Arabidopsis thaliana: one gene and its partners. The protein of the gene in region 2 interacts with the protein of the main gene of each other region in a pairwise test. Each region holds a gene or a part of one and is shown on either strand. Other genes may lie near its edges. The genes, in order: AT1G30880, NAP1;1, AT3G06590 and PNM1.

What was found.
Region 1: the proteins of NAP1;1 (region 2) and AT1G30880 interact in a two-hybrid assay, tested with the Arabidopsis thaliana proteins (2 studies listed by BioGRID).
Region 3: the proteins of NAP1;1 (region 2) and AT3G06590 interact in binary tests that used the Arabidopsis thaliana proteins (3 or more experiments, as listed by UniProt).
Region 4: the proteins of NAP1;1 (region 2) and PNM1 interact in binary tests that used the Arabidopsis thaliana proteins (3 or more experiments, as listed by UniProt).

Annotation. Positions count from the first base shown.
Region 1 is NC_003070.9:10,991,612-10,995,998, reverse strand, and holds AT1G30880 (uncharacterized protein), read left to right. Parts: upstream 1-1,850; 5' UTR 1,851-1,942; coding exon 1,943-2,177; intron 2,178-2,301; coding exon of another isoform or gene 2,302-2,327; exon of another isoform or gene 2,328-2,492; coding exon 2,493-2,620; 3' UTR 2,621-2,997; downstream 2,998-4,387. Other genes in the region: AT1G30890 (Integral membrane HRF1 family protein), read right to left, coding at 1-387, 510-661, 757-855, 939-1,109; AT1G30870 (Peroxidase superfamily protein), read right to left, coding at 3,114-3,875, 4,177-4,387.
Region 2 is NC_003075.7:13,230,251-13,236,962, forward strand, and holds NAP1;1 (nucleosome assembly protein1;1), read left to right. Parts: upstream 1-2,317; 5' UTR 2,318-2,461; coding exon 2,462-2,507; intron 2,508-2,629; coding exon 2,630-2,673; intron 2,674-2,868; coding exon 2,869-2,964; intron 2,965-3,124; coding exon 3,125-3,217; intron 3,218-3,369; coding exon 3,370-3,460; intron 3,461-3,553; coding exon 3,554-3,615; intron 3,616-3,704; coding exon 3,705-3,889; intron 3,890-4,027; coding exon 4,028-4,205; intron 4,206-4,283; coding exon 4,284-4,327; intron 4,328-4,464; coding exon 4,465-4,654; intron 4,655-4,759; coding exon 4,760-4,777; coding exon of another isoform or gene 4,778-4,810; exon of another isoform or gene 4,811-5,180; coding exon 5,181-5,252; 3' UTR 5,253-5,658; downstream 5,659-6,712. Other genes in the region: CK1 (casein kinase 1), read right to left, coding at 48-88, 183-258; AT4G26120 (Ankyrin repeat family protein / BTB/POZ domain-containing protein), read left to right, coding at 6,195-6,712. UniProt on the Arabidopsis thaliana protein: May modulate chromatin structure by regulation of nucleosome assembly/disassembly. Contributes to the regulation of cell proliferation and cell expansion. May function in nucleotide excision repair (NER). Involved in somatic homologous recombination.
Region 3 is NC_003074.8:2,052,020-2,058,035, reverse strand, and holds AT3G06590 (basic helix-loop-helix (bHLH) DNA-binding superfamily protein), read left to right. Parts: upstream 1-2,369; 5' UTR 2,370-2,723; coding exon 2,724-3,389; 3' UTR 3,390-3,393; exon of another isoform or gene 3,394-4,347; 3' UTR 4,348-4,957; exon of another isoform or gene 4,958-5,036; 3' UTR 5,037-5,289; downstream 5,290-6,016. UniProt on the Arabidopsis thaliana protein: bHLH transcription factor that binds DNA on specific sequence 5'-CANNTG-3' in target gene promoters. Negatively regulates brassinosteroid signaling.
Region 4 is NC_003076.8:24,527,102-24,532,329, reverse strand, and holds PNM1 (Pentatricopeptide repeat (PPR) superfamily protein), read left to right. Parts: upstream 1-2,297; 5' UTR 2,298-2,341; coding exon 2,342-3,907; 3' UTR 3,908-4,241; downstream 4,242-5,228. Other genes in the region: AT5G60964 (ECA1 gametogenesis related family protein), read right to left, coding at 1,406-1,744; COBL5 (COBRA-like protein 5 precursor), read left to right, coding at 4,325-4,391, 4,470-4,543, 4,615-5,047, 5,133-5,173. UniProt on the Arabidopsis thaliana protein: RNA-binding protein that functions in both mitochondrion and nucleus. In mitochondrion, it is associated with polysomes and may play a role in translation. Required during embryogenesis.

The DNA of each region.
Region 1 (4,387 bases), on a different chromosome or scaffold from region 2:
CAAAGAAGCCAATTAACACTAATGTTACCAAGCCATATCAAAAGTGGGAACTGGACCAAGGCTAAAAACAGAAGAAGGTAGTGATGTTTGCTCGAATCGTAACTTCTTACTTCAGCAAACAGAACACGTTTCATCGTCTTCACCAAGAAAATCCCAGTGCATAGACAAGTCCATGGCATCAACGCGTAGTACGAGTATCCCCACATTATTTTGGCAAAGCCCGCAAGACACAGACCAGCAAAAGCATACCCTCCGTATGCCACAATATCTAGTAATGGTGCCTCTCCACTACCAAGTGATAGAAGTGTTACTTTCAGGAGCATTACTTGCAAAAACCAACCAACCAATCCTTTCACAAACAGCCAATTCAAAGCTTCCGGTGTAAACCTAGAGACCAATCAGGTTTGAAATGGATTAATAATCACTCTGTCCACAACAATCATTCAAGACCTAAGACAGAAAACTATTTAGAGGGAATCATAGGGAGGGAGACGAAGCACAACACTTACTTTCCATTAAGTCCCAATGAAAGACCAGCAAGAACAACGTAGGTACCAAATGCCATAAAGGGAATGTACAAGTCTGGAGCATTGATATCATATATTGGAGGCTTGTATGAGAGCCTACCACCAACTGGTTCAGATATTCTGGTCCAGTGTCCCTGAGGGTTTGAAGCAGAACCCACAATAGTACAATTAAATGGCTGATAATAAGAGAAAGTCCCAAACAGAAGAAGAAAAGAGAAGACTAGCTTACCCGGTGTAGGAAAGGAAACAGAACAACCTTCAGTTTATTCCTCACATATTGATCATTCACTTGGAAATAGTATTGCGGATCAGAGAAGTACCGGCTTATCTATTCCATTGCGATAACAACAAGTTCAAAACCATGAAAACCAGATATTACGTGTGATATGGAATCATAAAGAGTTCACTTACATTGCTCTGAACATACTCAGAGCTCGATCCTAAAATTCTCTCCCCATACGCTCCCAAACCACCACGGATAAAACCCGAGCCAGCTCCAGTGAAAGGATTACCAAATGGACCAGGCTCAGGGTTTCCTGGAGGTCTTGGCATCCCCGGTTGAGGTCCCATGTTATTATACATCTCTGCCATCAAACCAAAACAATCACATCTTTATCTCAAACCAAACCAACCACAGTCAATACACATCTCCAACTTCTAAACTCTTAACTCTTGAAACCAAACAGTATTATCAACATTTACTTCTTAGATTCCACAGAATCTTCTTCAAAATTTCAATTTCAATTTCCACAGAATCTTCTTAGATCCTAATATCGATTCTAAAGTCATAATCTCAATTCGTAATCACTTCCATTGCTTTTTCGAATTTCAATCACGACAATGCATAACAAAGCAAAGCCAAAACTAGATCTATGATTCAACCAGAAGCATTCAAGTTCAATAACACAATCAATCCAAACCTAAAATCTATCGAAATTTATCAAATCTAACAAAAGAACAAAGATCTGATTCGCTAATCGAGAAACAACAACGCATACGAAATAGCAAGACGAAGAGCAAAATTCCACTACCGATCCACACCAAATCAAAACTAACCCGGAGATAAAGAGGTAGAGAGCTCAAAGCTTCAACGAGAAAGTTAGAGTTTTCTTCAAATGGAAACAATGGATTCTCCTCAGAAATCAAACAGTGTGATCTGCACGCAGACGAAGAAGGGTATTATCGGGTTTTCCATTCGAAGCGTTCTTCTCTATTTATTTGGGCCTAAATTGGGCCAATAATTTTCCGAATAGGCTCTAAACTTGGATAGGATACATTTAAACTCGTAACCAAACAGAACCGGAGCAATTCCTTTGTTCCTCAATTAGGTTTAGACTTTATAAAAGAAGTCCGACGCAGAAATTAAAACCCCTTTTGCCTCAAAACCCTGATTTCAAATCTCCCCAAGCACAACAATGGCGAAATCAATGAGATGCAAGAGGGTGAAGAGATTGAGAGCAATAAGAAGAGAAATAGTGGAGAAGGAATCATTCACTCTAACGAGAGAAGACGCCAAATCCGCCGCTATTGAAGCCGCACTCGCTGCTCCGAAGTTACCAGTTCGTCAAGCCCCAGTTTCTCCGTTTATGGAAGTTGCGACGCCTTCCTCTGAGTCTGCATCTGCCTCCACTACAATCGCCAACGATAGTGGTATGCCTCCTCTAAATTTGCCTCTTTGATTTTGTACGATTTGGTTTTAGATAAGGTAACGCTTGAAGAATCGAATTTAAGCTAAGCTTTAGAATCTGAAATTTAACTGAATCATTCATTTTAGTTGAAATCTTTGAAGGAGCTTGTTAGTTCATTACTCTTGGGAAGGTTGTTACTCTAAGAGAAACGTATCGCTCTAAAAGCTTTGTTTGGTTTCTTTATATTGAATTTTGTGTGCATCTACAAGTATATCTTTGAAAGTTTTGGTATTAAGGGTTTGTTCTGTTTTGGGATACTATTGTTGTTTGCTTGTAGATGAGGAAATGGATGATGAGAAGAAAAACAAGTCGCTAAAACCTATTGGGAAGAAGTTGAAGAAGAAGTTTAAGCTGGGGATGAAGAATCGTCGTAGTAAGGGTGTCCTTCGAGGCAAACGAAACTAAAACTGGTCTTGGCTTTCTTCTACTGGGTTTGTTTTCTACTTGCATAATTTATGTTCTCTCTTAATTTTGGGGTTCTTCAATGTCTTAGAATATAGCATCTTTTGTACTGTGTTTTTTCCATGAGTTTCAGTACTATAGAAACCCTAAAAACGTGATCGCGTCTGAATTGTGTCTCCCATCTTTCATTTTTCTTGCACCAAAAGCTATCATCACAACTTGATTTAGAGTTAACGTTTAGGGTTATTACCATTAACATCATGAACCCTTTGACATAAATTGATCATGTTGGACTGATATTAAGTATTGTCTTGATCAAATAGTGACGGTAAGTGTAGAACTCATGTAAATCGAAGTTGCAACGAAAATAATTCACAGTTTTTGTTCTTGTTCATACAACAAATTACAAAATTGCAATAGAAAAGAGCTCAAAAACCAAACAAGAAATTATTTCAAGAAACAAAAGATCCTTCTCATGAGGGATGATGATTATAATTTAGTAAGCTCTGGAGTTAGATTTGCTGCAAACCTTCCTGATCTCTCCGACACGATCTTCACCAGTGAGAACTCCAACGTTGACCAGCTTAGCCATGGACACAGCAAACTGCTGTCTGAATATCTGAGGTGATTGCTCTGCGAAAGTCTTTACAAGCGGAGCAGTCCTTGGGTCCTTAACAAGCTCCTGATCAGTCGACAAAACTCCCATATGCTTCTGAAGATTAATGTAGTACTGATTATCGAACACTGCTGGAGTTACAGGGTCGAGATCGACGGTCTCAGAGGCCCAGCGACACCTGCGTTGCAAGTAATCAGCGTATTTTGCGTCAATCGAAGGATCTGAACCACTGGTTGCGTTGTAGTTGTAAAGCCTCGACTGGATGGTGCCACAGGACGCTTTTCCGATGGTGTGGGCCCCGGAAAGGACAACTAGGTCGAGGACGTTGAGACCGTATGACTGAAACGTTTCGAGAAGGGCGGTAACATCACGACGGCCTGAAGGGACTTTCTCTACGTCTCTAGCGTAAGAGTGTTTGGAGTCACGACGACCGTAGACGTTGGGCCAGTAAGGACCACCAAGTTGGACGGTGGCGGCACGGCTGGCTGATGTTAGGATGTCGGCGCAGGATACTTTGCCGGGGCATGATTTCTCCATCTCGGACTTGATATCGTCAATTAGCTCGAAGCCTCTTAGTGTTTTGCTAGCCGGAGATCTTCTCTCTGTCCCTTCGTAGTCTAGAAGAACAGACGCATCACATCCCTGAAAGTTGTGTTAATTCATGTACAAAAATGTCAAGTTGTTATCTTTTAAAATGCATAACTATATTAGATATGCGCAAAACACTCAGATGCGTTTATACACAGAATAAAGTGCGCAAGTCCGTCTTCAATATTAAGAAACTTATATCTATATACTATCAATGTTCCAAGTATGGTCTAGATAGACGGAAGAACAATTCTAATCTCTAATAGAGTAATAGTGAAACCCATTTTTAGAACAATGTAAATCATATATGAATCAAAACATTGGCTATATATAATTGAACGATTAATTGCAATACCGTGACGCCACAATCGTGGAAGATAAGGCGGAGGAGGGCGGGACCAAGGGAAGAGTCACTCTTAGTCCATTCCCTCACTTTCGTAACAACGATTTTCTCAAAATCTGGACAAATCCTATCATAATAATTCAACGATAATAGGTTGTCCAAAGGGAACAATGACTTTGTATCATCATCGTCATCGCCTCCGTATCCTCCCGCTCCAGGTAAG
Region 2 (6,712 bases):
ACTTTTTGATCATCAAATTATTAAAATGGGATGACTGAAGAACTCACAAGCTTAATAGCCAGTTCTTCATTCGTATGAATATTAGTACCTGGAAAATCACAGGTTAACAACAATGTTAGAGATAATGTGACGAATTCGATAATCCATAAAATTAAAAACTAGAAAGTGAGAGAGAGACGAACCGAGATAGATCTCTCCAAACGAACCACTACCGATCTTTCGGCCGAGACGAAACTTGTTCCCCACACGAGGTTCCATAAATAACCACGAAACCCCTTGTACAATCTTAACAACCCAGACGCAGATTCAAATAGAGCGAAAGGGACCCCAAAAACAATCCTGACTAGAATCAGCCGCACCAGCAATCCAGAAAAACAACCCAGAGATCACGAACAATGAGATTACGGATTTTTCGCCGACTAAATCAAAACCCAGTAATCATCTTCTTCGTGCTCTCGATCTGGTGAAAAAACTCCATATGAACAGAATGTCGTTTTCTGGGATGCTTCTCTCTCTCTCTCTCCTCTCAAGAATTGAATACGAAGATAAAAAAAAAAAAAAAAAAAAAGAGCTTCGATGGACAGAAAACGATGAGGATGTCTTTCTCAAAGTTTGCGTCTTTTTTTTTTTCCTCTTTCCTTGCAGTTGCGGGTAATGTAAAAAAATTATTTACCTCTGAATGATTCCGGTTTTGTTGCTGTGTGCTATGTTCGGTTTGGTTTCTATGCTTCGGTTCAACCAAACAATCTAATGATTATGGCAAGCAGAATAGTAAAATAGAAAAAATGTGTAAAACATCTATAGAACACATATGTATATACATGCTGAGCATCTTTAAATCCACAAAAATACTACTATTTGAGCCGAATCTACCAACTAAACTAAACCTGGTTTTAAAATTATCCGGTTTATTTGAGAGTTTCAACAACAAGCGCGCTTAGACCATCATTATTCATAGTTTATAAGGTTAGTTCTTAGATAAAGTAGGTCTTAAATTTAATGTTATAATTCAATTAATTGTTAAAAATGACTCTTATATAAGAGCCAAATCTAATGTTTCTTAGGTTAATTCTTAGATAAATTAGGTATTAAATATAATGTTTTAATTCAATTAATCTTAATTCTTAGATAAATTAAGTATTAAATCTAATTGTTTGTCATATTTGTTTAAAATTTTATGTTATGTATGTTTCAAATTTTTTGAGTTGTAATAATTATTAAGTTTTTTAAAATTATAATGTTTCTACTTTTTTTCCAATTTTTTTTTTAAGAACTCAAGTTAAGAGTCCACCATTGCATATTGCCAAAATTTCAATCTCTTAACTAAATTCTTAACTTCAAAATTTTCAAAATCAATTATAAAAATATTCATAAGAACTATTAAGATTATGCTAAGAAACTACTATTAATGATACTCTTATGATGGCTATATGATATAAAAAGATTGACCACTTACCAGGTGTGTTTGCTACGCGTGACTTGAAAGCTCTACAAAATGTTTCTCTTAAGTGGGAGTCGTGGAGGTACAAAAAGCTTTTCACCTTTGCTTTTAATAGGATGAATGAAATGATTTACAGTTATCTGATTAGGTTGAATTTGTCTCATGGTTTTCTGGTTAAAAAAAAATGCTACGCGTGAGGCTTCTTTATTGTGTTTCTGGTCAGACGTATAAAAGGTTGAAACTTCAAATTGAAAATGTCGTGATGAGCTAATCTAGATTAGAGTACGTTTAATTCGTTTGAACTCGGGATGAGCTTAAACCAAACTAAAGATCTTTGTGCCTTTTGGGATATGACTTTTTGTTGTGGACTGTTTTTTTGTTTTTGTTGTGGACTGTTTTTTGTTTTTAATTAGTATGTACAGTGTATGTGAACAAAAGAAGTAATCAGTGTATTGGGCTTGGAAGGCTCATTCTTGGGATGGGCCTTAGTACTAACAGATTCAGAAATCTTCTATTTGATCCCATTAAAGTTCACTAACCTGTACTGTATTTGGTGAAGAATCAAATATATATAAGTGTATATATATATATATAAGTATATAGATAATTAATATAATTACATGCAAAATTTTAATTATATAGATAATTAAAGTTTATATATTAGTTATATATATTTATAATTGATTGAATTCATAAATAAACTTTAATTATCTATATATAAGTCAGTTCTCATTATCCATATATATATGTATGTAAAGTTTTGCATGTTATTTAATTCAATAAACTTAATTTTGCTTTTTAAAACATTAAACATCAATTTTTAGAGAAAGAAAAGTATATATAAAAAGAGAAAAAACTAAAATGGCATTTGTTATAATTTTGGTGTGAAAAGGAGGGAGAGAAAAAAACAAAAAAACAAAGAGGATTTAAGGGTTACGAGTCGCCTCCCCAAAACCCTTGTCCCTAGTCTCTTCTGCTTCTTCTTCTTCAAAATCTCTCTCTTCACCAAATCCTCAGAAGATGAGCAACGACAAGGATAGCTTCAACGTCTCCGATCTTACTGCTGGTAAAATACTCCTACTCACGATTACTCTTATCTCTTTCTCCGCCTCTTAAGCCAGAGCTGCTTTAACCCTAATTTCCTCTGTTATCTGACTGGTGTTCCTTTTGTTTACTGTTTTTTTGCAGCTCTTAAGGACGAGGATCGAGCTGGCCTTGTCAATGCTCTAAAGGTGAGTTTTTTTCCCCTTCTGTAAACTGTCCCGTGAGCATTTGCTATTGAAAGATATGGAGGATGTTGAGTTACTTTCCTCTGATTGTTTAGATACTATAAGCCGTGTCTTGGTGTTTAGTGTTTTGGTTTCAATGTCATTCTTCTAGTACAATGATAGTTTATGAGTTGTTAATACATTGTTATTAATTCACAGAACAAGCTGCAGAATCTGGCTGGTCAGCGTTCTGATGTGCTCGAGAATCTGACTCCCAATGTGAGAAAGCGCGTTGATGCCTTGAGGGATATACAGGTTAGCGAAATTTCTTTCACATTTTACCAAACTATGTGTGCTATATATCGTTTAATGGGGTTTGTTTTGTTTTGTGTGAGTTTTCTCCCTGCTTATCTGAATTTAAAGTTTCAAAAGTAAGGTGTTGCGTTTTGATTACTGATGACTTCTTTCCACGCAGAGCCAACATGATGAACTAGAGGCAAAATTCCGTGAGGAGAGAGCTATTCTTGAAGCCAAGTATCAAACGCTGTATCAGCCTTTGTATGTCAAGGTAATTGTTAATGAGAAAGTTTTACAAACCATTTTACTAAACTCAATGTAGATCTGTGTATACTCTTTTTGCTTATGTTTACTTATCTGCAGCAGTGTTAGTTTTCTATGTGCATCTTAATGAATTCTACTTGGTATCTTGTAATGGCACAGCGTTATGAGATTGTGAATGGCACTACTGAAGTTGAACTGGCTCCAGAGGATGATACCAAGGTGGACCAAGGAGAGGAGAAAACTGCAGAAGGTAACTTCATGAGCACTATGTCTTCTTTGTTTGTTGTTAATCTTTTTGGAAAGACAAAAACAATTTAACATTTTTCTCTGTTTTTCATTGCAGAGAAAGGAGTTCCAAGTTTCTGGCTGACAGCTCTGAAAAATAACGATGTTATTTCCGAGGAGGTAGCCTATATGCAGTTTTGGTGTTCGTTTTATAAACACTCCAATCATAACCATGGAATATGAGCATAACTTATTGTCATTTATGTCAGGTCACAGAGCGTGATGAAGGGGCTCTCAAATATCTTAAAGATATTAAGTGGTGCAAGATTGAAGAGCCTAAAGGATTCAAACTTGAGTTTTTCTTTGACACGAATCCGTATTTTAAGAACACTGTCTTGACAAAGTCTTATCATATGATTGATGAAGATGAGCCACTGCTTGAGAAGGCTATGGGGTAACTACTTATACTCTCTTGCAATTGTTGTATACTTTTAAGTATATTCTGCTTATTAGCTGATTGCATTGAGCTGCTTATTTTTTTTCTTCGCTTATATTGCAAATGGATTCTTATTCTTTCACCATTCATTTTCAGGACAGAAATTGATTGGTATCCTGGAAAGTGTCTAACTCAGAAGATTCTCAAGAAGAAGCCTAAGAAAGGTTCAAAGAATACTAAACCAATCACCAAACTCGAAGATTGTGAAAGCTTCTTCAACTTCTTTAGTCCTCCAGAAGTTCCGGATGAAGATGAAGATATCGACGAGGAAAGAGTAAGATAACGATTGTTAGAAAAACCTGTCATCATTTAGTTAATGTATTTAGTAACTCTTTCTCGTTCTTTGATGCAGGCTGAGGATCTTCAAAACCTGATGGAACAAGATTATGACATCGGGTTCGTCTTTTTCTAAACACACTTTCTCTGTTGATTTTATGGGTTTGCTTTTGAGTCATGGGACTACTTTATCACTGCAATCAAGGTGGTTACCCTTTCATTATTATCTGATCACAAGTACTTTTTACTTTCTGCAGATCTACTATTCGGGAAAAGATTATTCCTCGTGCTGTCTCATGGTTTACTGGTGAGGCTATGGAAGCAGAGGATTTTGAAATAGATGACGATGAGGAAGATGACATTGATGAGGATGAAGATGAGGAAGACGAAGAGGATGAGGAGGACGATGATGATGAGGATGAAGAAGAAAGCAAGACCAAAAAGAAGGTATAAAGTGCCCCAAGTATAGTTGTTTCTTTTTTTTTTTTTTTTCTTCATGCCACGTTAGTTTTTTACTAATCCTTTGAAATCGCTTAATATTTTTTTTTGCAGCCATCAATCGGCAACAAGGTATGTAACCTTTCAGAACTAAAGTTTATTTGATTTTGGAACTCCAACATTCAAATAACCAAACACAAGAAGTTTCAGGCTGAGCATTGTGATGAAAATAGAAATTAATATCGGAAATGTAGGCTCTAGAGGCCCATGAATCATACAGATTGCTGAAAGTAACTGAGCAATCCTAAAAAGTATGAATCAGTAAATAGGTAGTTACGTAGAAGACTCTGAGAAGGATACATGAATGACACAGCAGAGACTAAACAAGCTCTTTAATCATGGCATGGGCAGTACGAGATAGAACCATTCTCATGAATTCATTTTATTACTATAGTAGCAAACTAGCAATCAGTGTCTATGTTTGTGATAAATGTGAGAATCATCTGCTTAATTTTTTTTTCCTCTTGGACTGCAGAAGGGAGGGAGATCTCAGATAGTTGGTGAAGGTAAACAAGATGAGAGGCCACCCGAATGCAAGCAACAGTAATCTTTTACTACGCTCTACCAGACATAAAAGGATTGCGTGAAAATATAATTCAGGTCATTCTCTGTTCATCAAGAATGAGGATTGAGAAAAGGTTTTGGGATTTTTAAAAGTGAAATTCATCTTGTAGGAGTTTCGTTCGTTTTTCTATTGGTGTGTTTATTTTCTCTAAAGCACTTTAATAATATACCTTGGTATTTAATTTATGAATCAAGCATCATCATCCCTAGTCTCTGCATTCACTACTTCATCCCCTACCTAAACTTTGTCGACGAAAGAGATTTTAATAACCATTTAGATAGTAATGGGTAGTGGGAATGATCATTATTCTTTTGTTCACCGTCCTTTGATTTTCAATGGTAACCATTTTGTTGTGTAAGACTACAAAAGATGAATAATTGGACTATGACCATATTATATTAGTCAAGTCTAAATCGGTCGAAATCAGTTCACCTTTAAGATGAGTAATTTGACTAAATGCCTCCGCTTGTTCAACACTAATTATAATTTAAATTATTGTAGAAGGAAAACACAAAGAAAGTGAGGTTCCGAACATCCACAATTTGGACTAATCACATACTACTTAAGAAGTTTAATGCATCATTAGAGCTAAATGAGGGGAAAAAAAAGCTAGCTAAATAAACTTGAGACACTTGTTTGTGTTTGGTGTTATGAAAAACAAACTCAAAAGTCGCAACACTGTTTGGTAAATTGGAGACATGCGAAGAGGGGACCGCTTCGTTACCATTCAGAGTATTTGACGTAATATATTCCGTTTTAAGAAACCTATCTAGTTTCCAAGAAATTTACTAATAAAGGTGCTTGAGAAAGACCGTTGTTGATGATACGTTTTTTTATTTGCTAATGAAACGATTCGGTCGTTGTTTCTTGAAATTCCACTGTTATTAGACTCTTGACTCTGTTTTGTTTCCCGCCGATCTCGTGATGATGGCCACCACCACCACCACCACCACCGCTAGATTCTCTGATTCATACGAGTTCAGCAACACAAGCGGCAATAGCTTCTTCGCCGCCGAGTCATCTCTTGATTATCCGACGGAATTTCTCACGCCACCGGAGGTATCAGCTCTTAAACTTCTGTCTAACTGCCTCGAGTCTGTTTTCGACTCGCCGGAGACGTTCTACAGCGATGCTAAGCTAGTTCTCGCCGGCGGCCGGGAAGTTTCTTTTCACCGTTGTATTCTTTCCGCGAGAATTCCTGTCTTCAAAAGCGCTTTAGCCACCGTGAAGGAACAAAAATCCTCCACCACCGTGAAGCTCCAGCTGAAAGAGATCGCCAGAGATTACGAAGTCGGCTTTGACTCGGTTGTGGCGGTTTTGGCGTATGTTTACAGCGGCAGAGTGAGGTCCCCGCCGAAGGGAGCTTCTGCTTGCGTAGACGACGATTGTTGCCACGTGGCTTGCCGGTCAAAGGTGGATTTCATGGTGGAGGTTCTTTATCT
Region 3 (6,016 bases), on a different chromosome or scaffold from region 2:
CACGTGTATGATGAAAAGCTGGTATTAAACCTAGGCAAATCATGGGTTGGAAATTCAGCTTTTCGATTCACAACAAAGATTGTCATTGGTCAAGTAATTGTCACGTTTGCTCAGTGTTGTTGGTAAAACAATGATGGCAACTTAAGAGTTAGGCTTCCAAATGCTTATAAATTAGTGTACGTAATCTAACAATAATCATATTTCTACTATTTAAACAGGATTTGGCTGCTATCACTGTGAGAAACCAGGGACAAAAAATCAACTACTTCTGATGAAGCGAAACACATAGAAGTTGGAAATATCATTTGAAAAAAGAAAAAACTACACAGGTTAGTGTTTTCATATTTGCCTCTGAAAAGTGTTGTTAAGTTGATGTTAAATTTACCAAAAGACTATTAATCATTTCATATTAGCAATCCAAAATAGACCCGTTGAAAAAACAATGATTGAGCATCATCATCTGTTAATCTAATCAATACTTCCCTTTTTCTTCCTTTAAAAAGAAACTAGTCCTTCTTCTTCCATTGTCTGTCGTTCACTTAGTTTATTTGGTGTCTAGAATTAGGGAGGCAATCTCTGTGCCACCTTCATCATACTTAATAGTTAGTTTTCCTTTCCTTATCAACTTTTTTCATTAATATAATAAGAAAAAACTCATTACATCCGAGATACATAATGATTTGCAAATAAATTTGAAAACCTTAGATAGCTGGAATTATGATTTACAGTAGTAAATTTTCATAGTAACAAATTTGAACTTCCAATCCGAAATATATTTATTTCTATTAATGGAAGATAACAATTACAGCCAGCAACCTTTGTGATACATGTTTTTTTTGTTGTTGTTGTTGAAGTAGAGCCCATGAGAATTACGCAAATCGCAGATTCGAATAGTGGTTTCTTTGACTCAGTTCGTAAAACAGATAATTCATTAGGTTGCTTTGTTCTTCACCAACAAATTTTCTGCTTGATTCTAAAGTATAAATTGAGAAAATTTAAGTATCTAAATCGAAAATATATTCTTAAATTCGAAGTAGATAAACTATTTTATTGTAAGTGACACTTTAGTGAATAATTGGATATGTTGTTTCTTATCATTAATTTGTCATGTGGAATCATTCTAGCTTATAACTTTCTAAGGTACAGAGAATATGCCACGTTACTGACACAATTATTAACCCTTAGCCCTTAGGTTAAATGAATACTATTATCTATGAAGCATTGCGCATTGCGCTCTGTTTCTAACATCCTTTCCACCCGCCTAAAAACATCTTAATACAGTATATATACCATTGTGGTACTTTTATGTCTAACATAAACTAAGATAGGTATTTTCCATTTTAACTGCTGATCAAACTCAACATAGTGAACAGTACAAACAAAAATCAAACTAACAGTAACTTTTCTAGAAAATTAGTTTGAACGTAGCTAGCTTTATTTATATATGAATTAACCCAATGGAGAAGTTCAGAAGCTCCTTTTTTCAGCAGGATATATGAATAAAATGACGCCACTCCCTTATACTTTACCCAACAATCTATTAATCTTATATCTACTTATACATATACACAAAATTTAATGAAATTTTATTCATACATATTGATAGATACACATACAAAACTTTTTTTTGATAAAATACAGGAGTTAATTTCAGTGATCTTTTCTTTACAGGGAAAGAAAAAAAAGCCGTAAAGAGAGGCAGTGCCACTAACCCTACATCGCACATGCATTTCGTTTGGTATATTACTTTATGCGTAAAGTAGTATTTTAAATACAATTCCAATATTTACGAAATCATTGCACTGAATACAAAATCCAAAGTTTTGAGTTTTTGGCCCCTCTCTTTTTGCCCTGTCAGTCCATTAAACGACCACTATAAGTCGTAAATGGATTTCTCCAATAGTAATATGACACGTCATCCTTTCGTTTGAATCTACCTTCCTCCTCCATTCCACCAAAGTATCGGCCTTTATACAAGTTTGTTTGTTTTCTCTTTTCGTAAACATCTTTAGATATCAATAAGCTAATTTAGTAATTAAGATTGTACCCTAAATTGATTGGAAACTATCGTTATGGATGCTCTACCCACATTAGGATCTTTGTAGCATTTCTATTATGTATTTTACTCTCTATTTAGATTATGTCTACAAAAGATCGAAAACTCGTGATTGTAAGAAATTTTGTATATAAATTTCTTTCTAAAATCTCTGTCAAGAGGGTAAGTTTAAAAAAATAATTGTGAACTAATCAACGTGGAACAAAACTTTTTAAGTATAATCATAATTCATAAACATTGCTTCAAGTCACAATGATGTCTCTGTCTCTCATTATTCCAAAACCATTAGAGGTTATAGAGCCAGTTAATTATAACTTATCAATTCCACTAGTGTTGAGAATGAAATTATTTGTTTCTTGGTGGTATTCACGAATTCTCTTTATCATGCATTACAAATGCCACTTTCGTATCTGGCTAAAACAACAAATACTAAAAAACAAATTGACAAAACGACGCCGCTTATTAACTGCTACATCTAAAACGGGGCCGTTTGTTAACTGCTACGTCTCGTGATAGTTGATACCTCTCTCCCTTTATATATCTTCCTCTTCTTCTCCCTTCCATTATTCTCCACAATTTCATAACTTTCTTCCGCTCAACTTCAGATAAATTCGGATTCTGTAGCTCTTTCAATACGACTGCGGAGATCAGAGCCAATTATTTGGTTATGGCGTCTCTGATCTCAGATATTGAACCGCCGACGAGTACTACTTCAGATCTCGTTCGGAGAAAGAAGAGATCCTCTGCTTCATCCGCCGCATCGTCTCGTTCAAGCGCATCTTCCGTCTCCGGTGAGATTCACGCGCGATGGCGATCGGAGAAGCAACAACGGATCTACTCAGCCAAACTGTTCCAAGCGCTCCAACAAGTCCGCCTCAACTCTTCCGCCTCAACATCATCATCTCCAACGGCTCAGAAACGAGGAAAGGCCGTCCGTGAAGCCGCCGATCGAGCTCTTGCCGTTTCCGCTCGGGGAAGAACACTCTGGAGCAGAGCGATCTTAGCTAATCGGATCAAACTGAAATTTCGTAAACAGAGACGTCCTCGAGCTACGATGGCGATTCCGGCCATGACTACGGTGGTTAGTAGCAGCAGCAACAGATCGAGAAAACGGAGAGTGTCGGTGTTGAGATTGAATAAGAAGAGTATACCGGATGTTAACCGGAAAGTACGTGTTCTAGGCCGGTTAGTTCCCGGTTGCGGTAAACAATCCGTACCGGTGATTCTAGAAGAAGCAACTGATTATATTCAGGCTCTGGAGATGCAAGTGAGAGCCATGAACTCTTTAGTTCAGCTTCTCTCCTCCTACGGCTCAGCTCCTCCACCGATTTGATGAGGTTAAAATCGTCTTTTTAATTCTACCATCTCTCGATCTTTCACAGCTTATGTGTATATAGAAGATTCGGTTTGATTATAATCTGTAACTACTCTTCCCAACCGCTGATTCTTCTCTGCTACAAGTAAAAGTAAATTTTGAACCGAGTCTTCCCATTTTTACGATCCTCAAGTCTAAATTAAGTATATGATTGATTAATAAAGTCTTTACCATTAGGGTTCAAATCGTAGTTGGATTATTTGATTTAGATTGATGAATTCGTTGTTGATCAAAAAAAAAATAAGATTGATGAATTCGTTATTGGAGTTAGTGGGAAAATGGGTTCCTCTTTTAACCTCATAGTATGTGATAACTAAACCAATATGGAACTTTTGATGTACTTTTAGTTCATTCAATATGGCTTTGTACTATATCATCTTATGTACTATATGAAATTTCAACATGAAATAGATTTGTACTGCAATAAAGTGGAAAGAAAATAATTTCCCATTTAGAATTTTAAAATACATTATAGTAGATGTAGGAAGATAATGGGTTAACTTTAGTTTTGATTATGGTAGCATGTGATGATGCATTAGAGAATGAATGGAATGATACATTCAAATTCATTGAATTGAATGATGACTGATGAGATTGATCTGTCACTCAATCATCTACTCGCTTTATTGCCCCTCCTTTGAATCCCATTTTTGATACTTATAGGTTGTTTGTCTTCTTTTTCTTTTCTTTTCCTTATTTCACAAGAAATATAAAGGAAAAAAAGAAGAAAAAAGATTAAATTAGCTAATAATTCCCTGTTACTAAATAAGTTTTCTCAAACACTAATCTGCAGTTCTGCACGTACTGTATATCCTTCAATATTCATCACGAAGCAAAACTGAATAACCTGTAGTTAAAATTGACTTAACAGGAGTTTGATTCATTAGCTTAATTAATATACGAATTTCTGTGATAGGGATATGATTTAAGAACACTGGAGTATGACTAGGCGACAACAAGAGACAAGTGACGACAAAAGCAAAAAATATTTAAAACATAGAGAGAAGTGACCTTAAAAGTATGAGGAGGCACATGGGAGTGGCCATGCCTTTGTCCTCTTGTTTCTTTTTAAGCCTTCTCTTATTAACTTGCACGACAACTCTTTTCATCACATATTTCATAAGTTATATTATTATTGCCAAAAGGGACAAACTATTAGAGAAAATAAACCGCAACATTGTAGAAGATTGGATTAAAACTCGCCAACACACTATTAGAGAAACTTGCCCAGATAAAATTATGTCCATGTCGAACACAGTTATAACCAAGGAGCCTAATTCCCAAAAAATGATTTTTATATTTGGAAACCATCCATTGCAGATACTCCTGGAGGTTTCTCCTAGTCTTCAGTGCCGAAGATTTCACGACAAAAGAAGACTTGAAAATCTCGATACTCTTTTGCGGAACTTTCCCACCGCGACACAAAGAGATCACTCCACAGAGATATGAGGCAGCTTTGAGTCCTTTAGACGCGGCTTTTGCAAACATTCGATCCCTTTCTCTTCATCAACAATATTACTGAATAGGTAAAAGCACTTCACAATTCCTTCACGAGCCACTGCTTCCGTGTTTCCGCTCTCTCTGCATCTCTTGAGAAAACTCTAGCTTTAGTTATAGGTCATCGTTTGCGGTTTTGATTTCGTCGAGGCAGACGTGTTCGAGAACTTGAGGGTCGTTGCAGAGATTATGTAATGATTTGCATACGAGGCTGAAGTTGAACAAGCTTGAGTGAAGAAAGAGCCACGCGTGGCAAGATCTCCTTCACAACCACTTCTTCTGGGAGAGACTCCATTTTATAGTGATTTGAGAAATGATATTTTAATTTAGGGTTTCAACTTAGACGTTTGCTTATTAAATTGTGTGAATAAATAAATATATATATATATATATATATATATATATATATATATATCATTAATAAATAAATAAACGATAAGAGTAACCTTAAAAATCTAGTTGAACCCTAAACCCTATGGCTAATATATACAATGTAATATATTATTCCTCTAATCATCTTTTAGAAATTTTTTATTATTTTTAATTTACACATAAATCAATATCTTTTTCAGATATAGTTTTATCTACATTGTATGTAATACCTCCATGTTGCTACACGTTAACACTTGCATATTTGTTACTCAATCTAATTAAGCAGGAATTAAAAACAACGGTTAACCGGAAAACTTTTACTATTTATCCATTCAGTATTATCTTATAGCTCAAATTACTTTTAGTTTTTACATATAGGATATAACTCTCACACACGTAAAATACGATTAAATTTAAATTCAAACTAGGACACTTATCTAATCTAGTGTTATCTGAATTCATAGAGTGTTAGAAGAATTAGGAAACGTTTTTTAATCAATAACATCATTTTTGGGAATAATATGTTTATCAAATATAAACCTACCCAAAGAAAAAAAAAATCACCAACAAATATAGTACGAATTAAGATTCATAAACGTGTTCCGGAATCCAAAAGATCGAAAGTTTTGGATAAGTAAGATATTCACAAATATTCATTTTTAAAATTCAAAATATTCGATAAATACAAGCGATCTTCCGGAACAGATCTTAAATAC
Region 4 (5,228 bases), on a different chromosome or scaffold from region 2:
ATTTTATGTAGGCCAGTATAAAAACCGTAATAAAAAAATTTCAAATAAACATTTTACCAATTCTACATTTATATCGACATGGAGATCTATCTGAACCTCATTTCTCAATATAGACTGTATAATATATATACAGTTTTGCTAGATTTTTCACGGTACGAAATAATTTTGTTTTCTAGTTATAGTTAGTTAATTGGAGTTGTTGTAATTTCCATATAGTCTACATGTTTAGTTTGATGTCGATATAAATATTAATGCCTTTTATGTCATTTCTTGAGTGTTGGATACAAATAACGATCATTCTCCTAACTCCAAACAAGTAATTAGGAGATTAGGTTCGAAATATATGTATTAGGAGATTAGTTTAGCACACATCCCTGACGATATATGTATTTGGAAGCTTGTTAGGAACCGACATTCTCATAGCCTATGCTGAGCATCTGACTAACCCAAAATGATGACGACGTGAGATATATTCGTAAGCAAATTATGTGGAGGACCGGGACATAAGCGCACAAAGGGAACACGCTATTGGGCTGTAAAAATAAAGGAGAAAGAGCTCACAAATTTTCTAAAGAAGACAAAATCAATATGAGCCCCCGGCGAGGATCGAACTCGCGGCCTTTCGCTTACGAAGCGAACGCAATACCACTATGCTACGGAGGCATCCGAAATTATAAAGGTATTTTTAATATATAATTCGGTTCGTTTTCCATATTTTCCAACTACTGCGTGACGATAAACTAAAAGCTTAAGTGATGGGTTCAGGGTTCTTCATGTACTGATGTATAAGACTCATAATATTCATGTGCTGATGTTCACATGAAGATAAATATTATGAAAAGAACCTTTGTGACTTCATCACGATATATAAGACTCACATGCAACCAAAGAAAATGATCAAGTTAGAAGAAGACTCACAAATTTCAAAATAATTTTTTACTTTTGCTACGGAGGTCTCTGGAGGCCAGGGAGACACGGTTTCATGAGTCATGATTGTTATCTTTTCAAAAATATAGATATTATTAATATGTTATTATTTTCTCCTATAGTGTTACCGGCTATAAAATAAAAAACTTGAGAGTTCAGACGTATTAGAATGTGTGATTTCCATCATCCAGACATAATCTGTTCACCATGTTTGCTGATTTGAATTTCAATATTCGTAATTATAAATACATAAATTTTTTAAGAAGATTAACCTTGTAACTATTTGTTTATATGTCTATGTCCATGTAAAGTATCATATTGTCAACTAAATAAAGATGAAACACAGAAAAGTGAATGTTGTAATGCTATTATTGTATAATTGTAGTTTTTGAGTACAACATTTAGCAAATCAACTTTATTTTTGTTAAAAGACTTATATATATATATATATATATATATATATATATATATTAAAATTCTATTTTCTAACAACTTTTAAACAATGATTTCTTATGAAAGAAGGAAAATGTGGCATGTATGGAATTTTTGGCAAGCAGTAATCTCTGGTATGTAAATATGCCTTGCAACAATAAGGACTAATCACCCATCGCCTATTAGATACGGATTGAGTAGTTTCTATAACGCATATTGGAAATTTCATCACAGATGAATAACATTTGAATATACGAGAAAATACTGGAAAACTATTAAGTAACGGATATGGATCAGTAAAAATAGACGAAAATGGTGGCCTTGCATTTACGGAGACTATAATGCATATGACCATTAAAAGTGAAATCACATTTTTAATAGACATACTGAGATATTGAGAAAAAATAAAGAAAAAAAACTTTGTTAGTATAACAAAATATATGTTTAGTAGTTGATTGATGAACAACAATAAAATCCTTGCCTATTTAAATGGAAGGGAACAAAACTATGGTATTAATTATCTTGATTAACGTCTTTGAACTCTTTTAATAGCACTTATTAATTAGCAGTTTATAAAATTGAATAGTGTTAAAACTTCTAGAAACGAACAACATTTAAGTAACAAATATAGGAATATGTTAATTCTATGAGGACTCTATGTATTAATTAAATTAAAAAAAAAATGAATAATAAAATTATAACATGATTATTATTAGAGTAGGTGGAGGTGCGGGGAATCGAACCCCGTGCCTCTCGCATGCGAAGCGAGCGCTCTACCATATGAGCTACACCCCCATTTTGAGTAAAAATGAAACAGATACATAATAAATTCAAATTAAACAATCAAAAGGGGCTTAAGCAAATCAAGGCCCGAAACGAAGCCCAATTACTCAAGATGTTCCTAAATCCTGAACTAGGGTTTTATTCTATTTCCCTTTCTCACTAACTCTCTAGTTACCAATTTTCTCTCACTAAATCAGAAATGCCGCCGTCGTTACCGTCTCTGCAACTCCGACGGCTTCTCCTCCGTAGCTTCATTTCCTCCTCCTCCGTCAATACTCTTCAATCTCAGCCCCGTATCATTTCTTCCAAGCCGTTGTTTTCTCCTCTTCCCCCTTCCCGTTCCTCTATATTCTCAACATTTCCTTCTAGATTCTTCTCATCTGAAACGAATGCGGAATCGGAATCTTTGGATTCGAATGAGATCGCTCTCTCTTTCTCGAAGGAGCTCACCGGGAATCCAGACGCCGAGTCTCAAACCATTTCGCAGAGATTCAATCTCAGCTTCTCCCACATCACGCCTAATCCCGATTTGATTCTCCAAACTCTTAATCTCTCACCGGAAGCTGGTCGCGCGGCTCTAGGTTTTAACGAGTGGTTAGATTCGAACTCTAACTTCTCTCACACCGATGAAACAGTTTCGTTTTTCGTCGATTACTTTGGCCGTCGGAAAGATTTCAAAGGAATGCTAGAGATCATCTCGAAATACAAAGGTATCGCCGGAGGTAAAACACTAGAATCGGCGATTGATAGGCTTGTTAGAGCTGGTAGACCTAAGCAGGTCACTGATTTCTTCGAGAAAATGGAGAATGATTATGGTTTGAAACGTGATAAAGAATCACTTACCTTGGTTGTGAAGAAGCTTTGTGAGAAAGGACACGCGAGTATCGCAGAGAAGATGGTGAAGAACACTGCTAATGAAATATTTCCTGATGAGAATATATGTGATTTGTTGATTAGTGGATGGTGTATTGCTGAGAAACTCGATGAAGCAACTAGGTTAGCTGGTGAAATGTCTAGAGGAGGATTTGAGATAGGAACCAAAGCGTATAACATGATGCTTGATTGTGTTTGTAAGCTTTGTAGGAAGAAAGATCCTTTTAAGCTTCAACCTGAAGTAGAGAAGGTTTTGCTGGAGATGGAGTTTCGTGGTGTACCTAGAAACACAGAGACTTTCAATGTGTTGATTAACAATCTTTGTAAAATCAGGAGAACTGAAGAAGCAATGACATTGTTTGGTAGGATGGGTGAATGGGGTTGTCAACCAGATGCTGAGACTTATCTTGTTCTGATTAGGAGTTTGTATCAAGCAGCGAGGATCGGTGAAGGGGACGAAATGATCGATAAGATGAAATCAGCGGGATATGGTGAGCTTTTGAATAAGAAAGAGTATTACGGGTTTCTCAAGATATTGTGTGGGATTGAGAGGCTTGAGCATGCGATGAGTGTGTTTAAGAGCATGAAAGCTAATGGATGCAAACCTGGGATCAAGACTTATGATTTGTTGATGGGGAAAATGTGTGCGAATAACCAGCTGACTAGAGCTAATGGTTTGTATAAAGAAGCGGCTAAGAAAGGAATCGCTGTTAGCCCTAAGGAATACAGAGTAGATCCACGGTTTATGAAAAAGAAGACCAAGGAAGTGGATAGCAATGTTAAGAAGAGGGAGACTTTGCCTGAGAAAACCGCGAGGAAGAAGAAACGGCTCAAGCAGATCAATATGAGTTTTGTTAAGAAACCGCACAATAAGATGAGACGGAGAATGTGATGCTGATGAATCTTCAACATCTGATAGAATTTTCTAAAGATTATTGTCTTTGTTCTTTCCTTTTTAAGATATTGTCAAGAGTACTCATCATTTTGCTTGATCATGAGCAAATTGTCCCAATAATCTTTTGTTTTGTCTCAGTGTAACGTTTACTAAGAGTTCATGCTTGGCTCAAGAATCGGAGGTAAAATTAGGTTTCTTGGTTAATTGAATGCTTCTCTTGTACATCCAAGTTGAGTTTAATTATAACGGATCAAGTCAGCTAATCTTTGTTAATTATCTAATATATTAAAGTTAAAACAAGATCCCGTGTATAAAGGCATATCAACGTGCAAATGTATACTAGTCAAAGTCGTCGCCTTGATCTATATTCTTACAAAGTCTCTCTCTGTCTCTGTTCACATCGGAACCACAAGAATGGAGTCTCTCTTCTCCACGATGATTGTCCTGCTCTTGGTTTCTTTTTCCTGTCTCATTTCTACAGGTAAATTTCCTTGTACACAATCACCTGCATTTGTCTTTTCTAAAACTTCAAAAGTCTTTTATGTTCTTTAATCTGCAGAAGCTCTCACCAGCAACTATGGAAACATCACAGTCAAATGGGATCTCTTGAACTGGACGCCTGATGGCTACGTTGTAAGTTCTTCTTCTTCGTGTCTCACAAAATCTCAGAGTCTGCTTTAACTTCAAAATTGACTCTATCTCAGGCAGTGGTTACAGCCTACAATTACCAGAAGCAACGTTCGATTCCAGGATGGAAAATGAGCTGGAGAGGGACCAAGAAAGAAGTGATCTGGAACATGTTGGGTGCAAAAACGACAGGGCAAGGAGGTTGTTCCATGTTCAAAGGAAATATCCCGCAGTCCTGCGTTCGTAAGCCAACAGTTGTCGATTTGCTTCCCGGAACTCCTTTCAATCAGCAGATCGCTAATTGCTGCAAAAGCGGTGTCTTAAAACCTGGTTCAGAAAGTGCATTCCAGTTATCTGTTGGTAGCGCTGGTAACTCGGTTAAGACTGCTCGGATGCCGGCAAACTTCATGTTCACGGCACCTAAACAACAGTACATATGTGGACCGAGTAAGAACGTTAGACCAACGAGGTTTACAACCGCCGACAAAAGGAGAATAACTGCAGCCCTAAGTAAGTTTCACAACAAAAACAAACCTCGACAAATCTGTAATTCTGATTTTGAGACTCACCTGCTTCTTTTTTTGTTCTTATGCAGTGACCTGGAACATTACTTGCGTCTTCCACAAAGCAACATGAACAACGCAACTCTCCAAAGGAACATTATCATAAGCAAATCTTTCTCCAGAGTTTA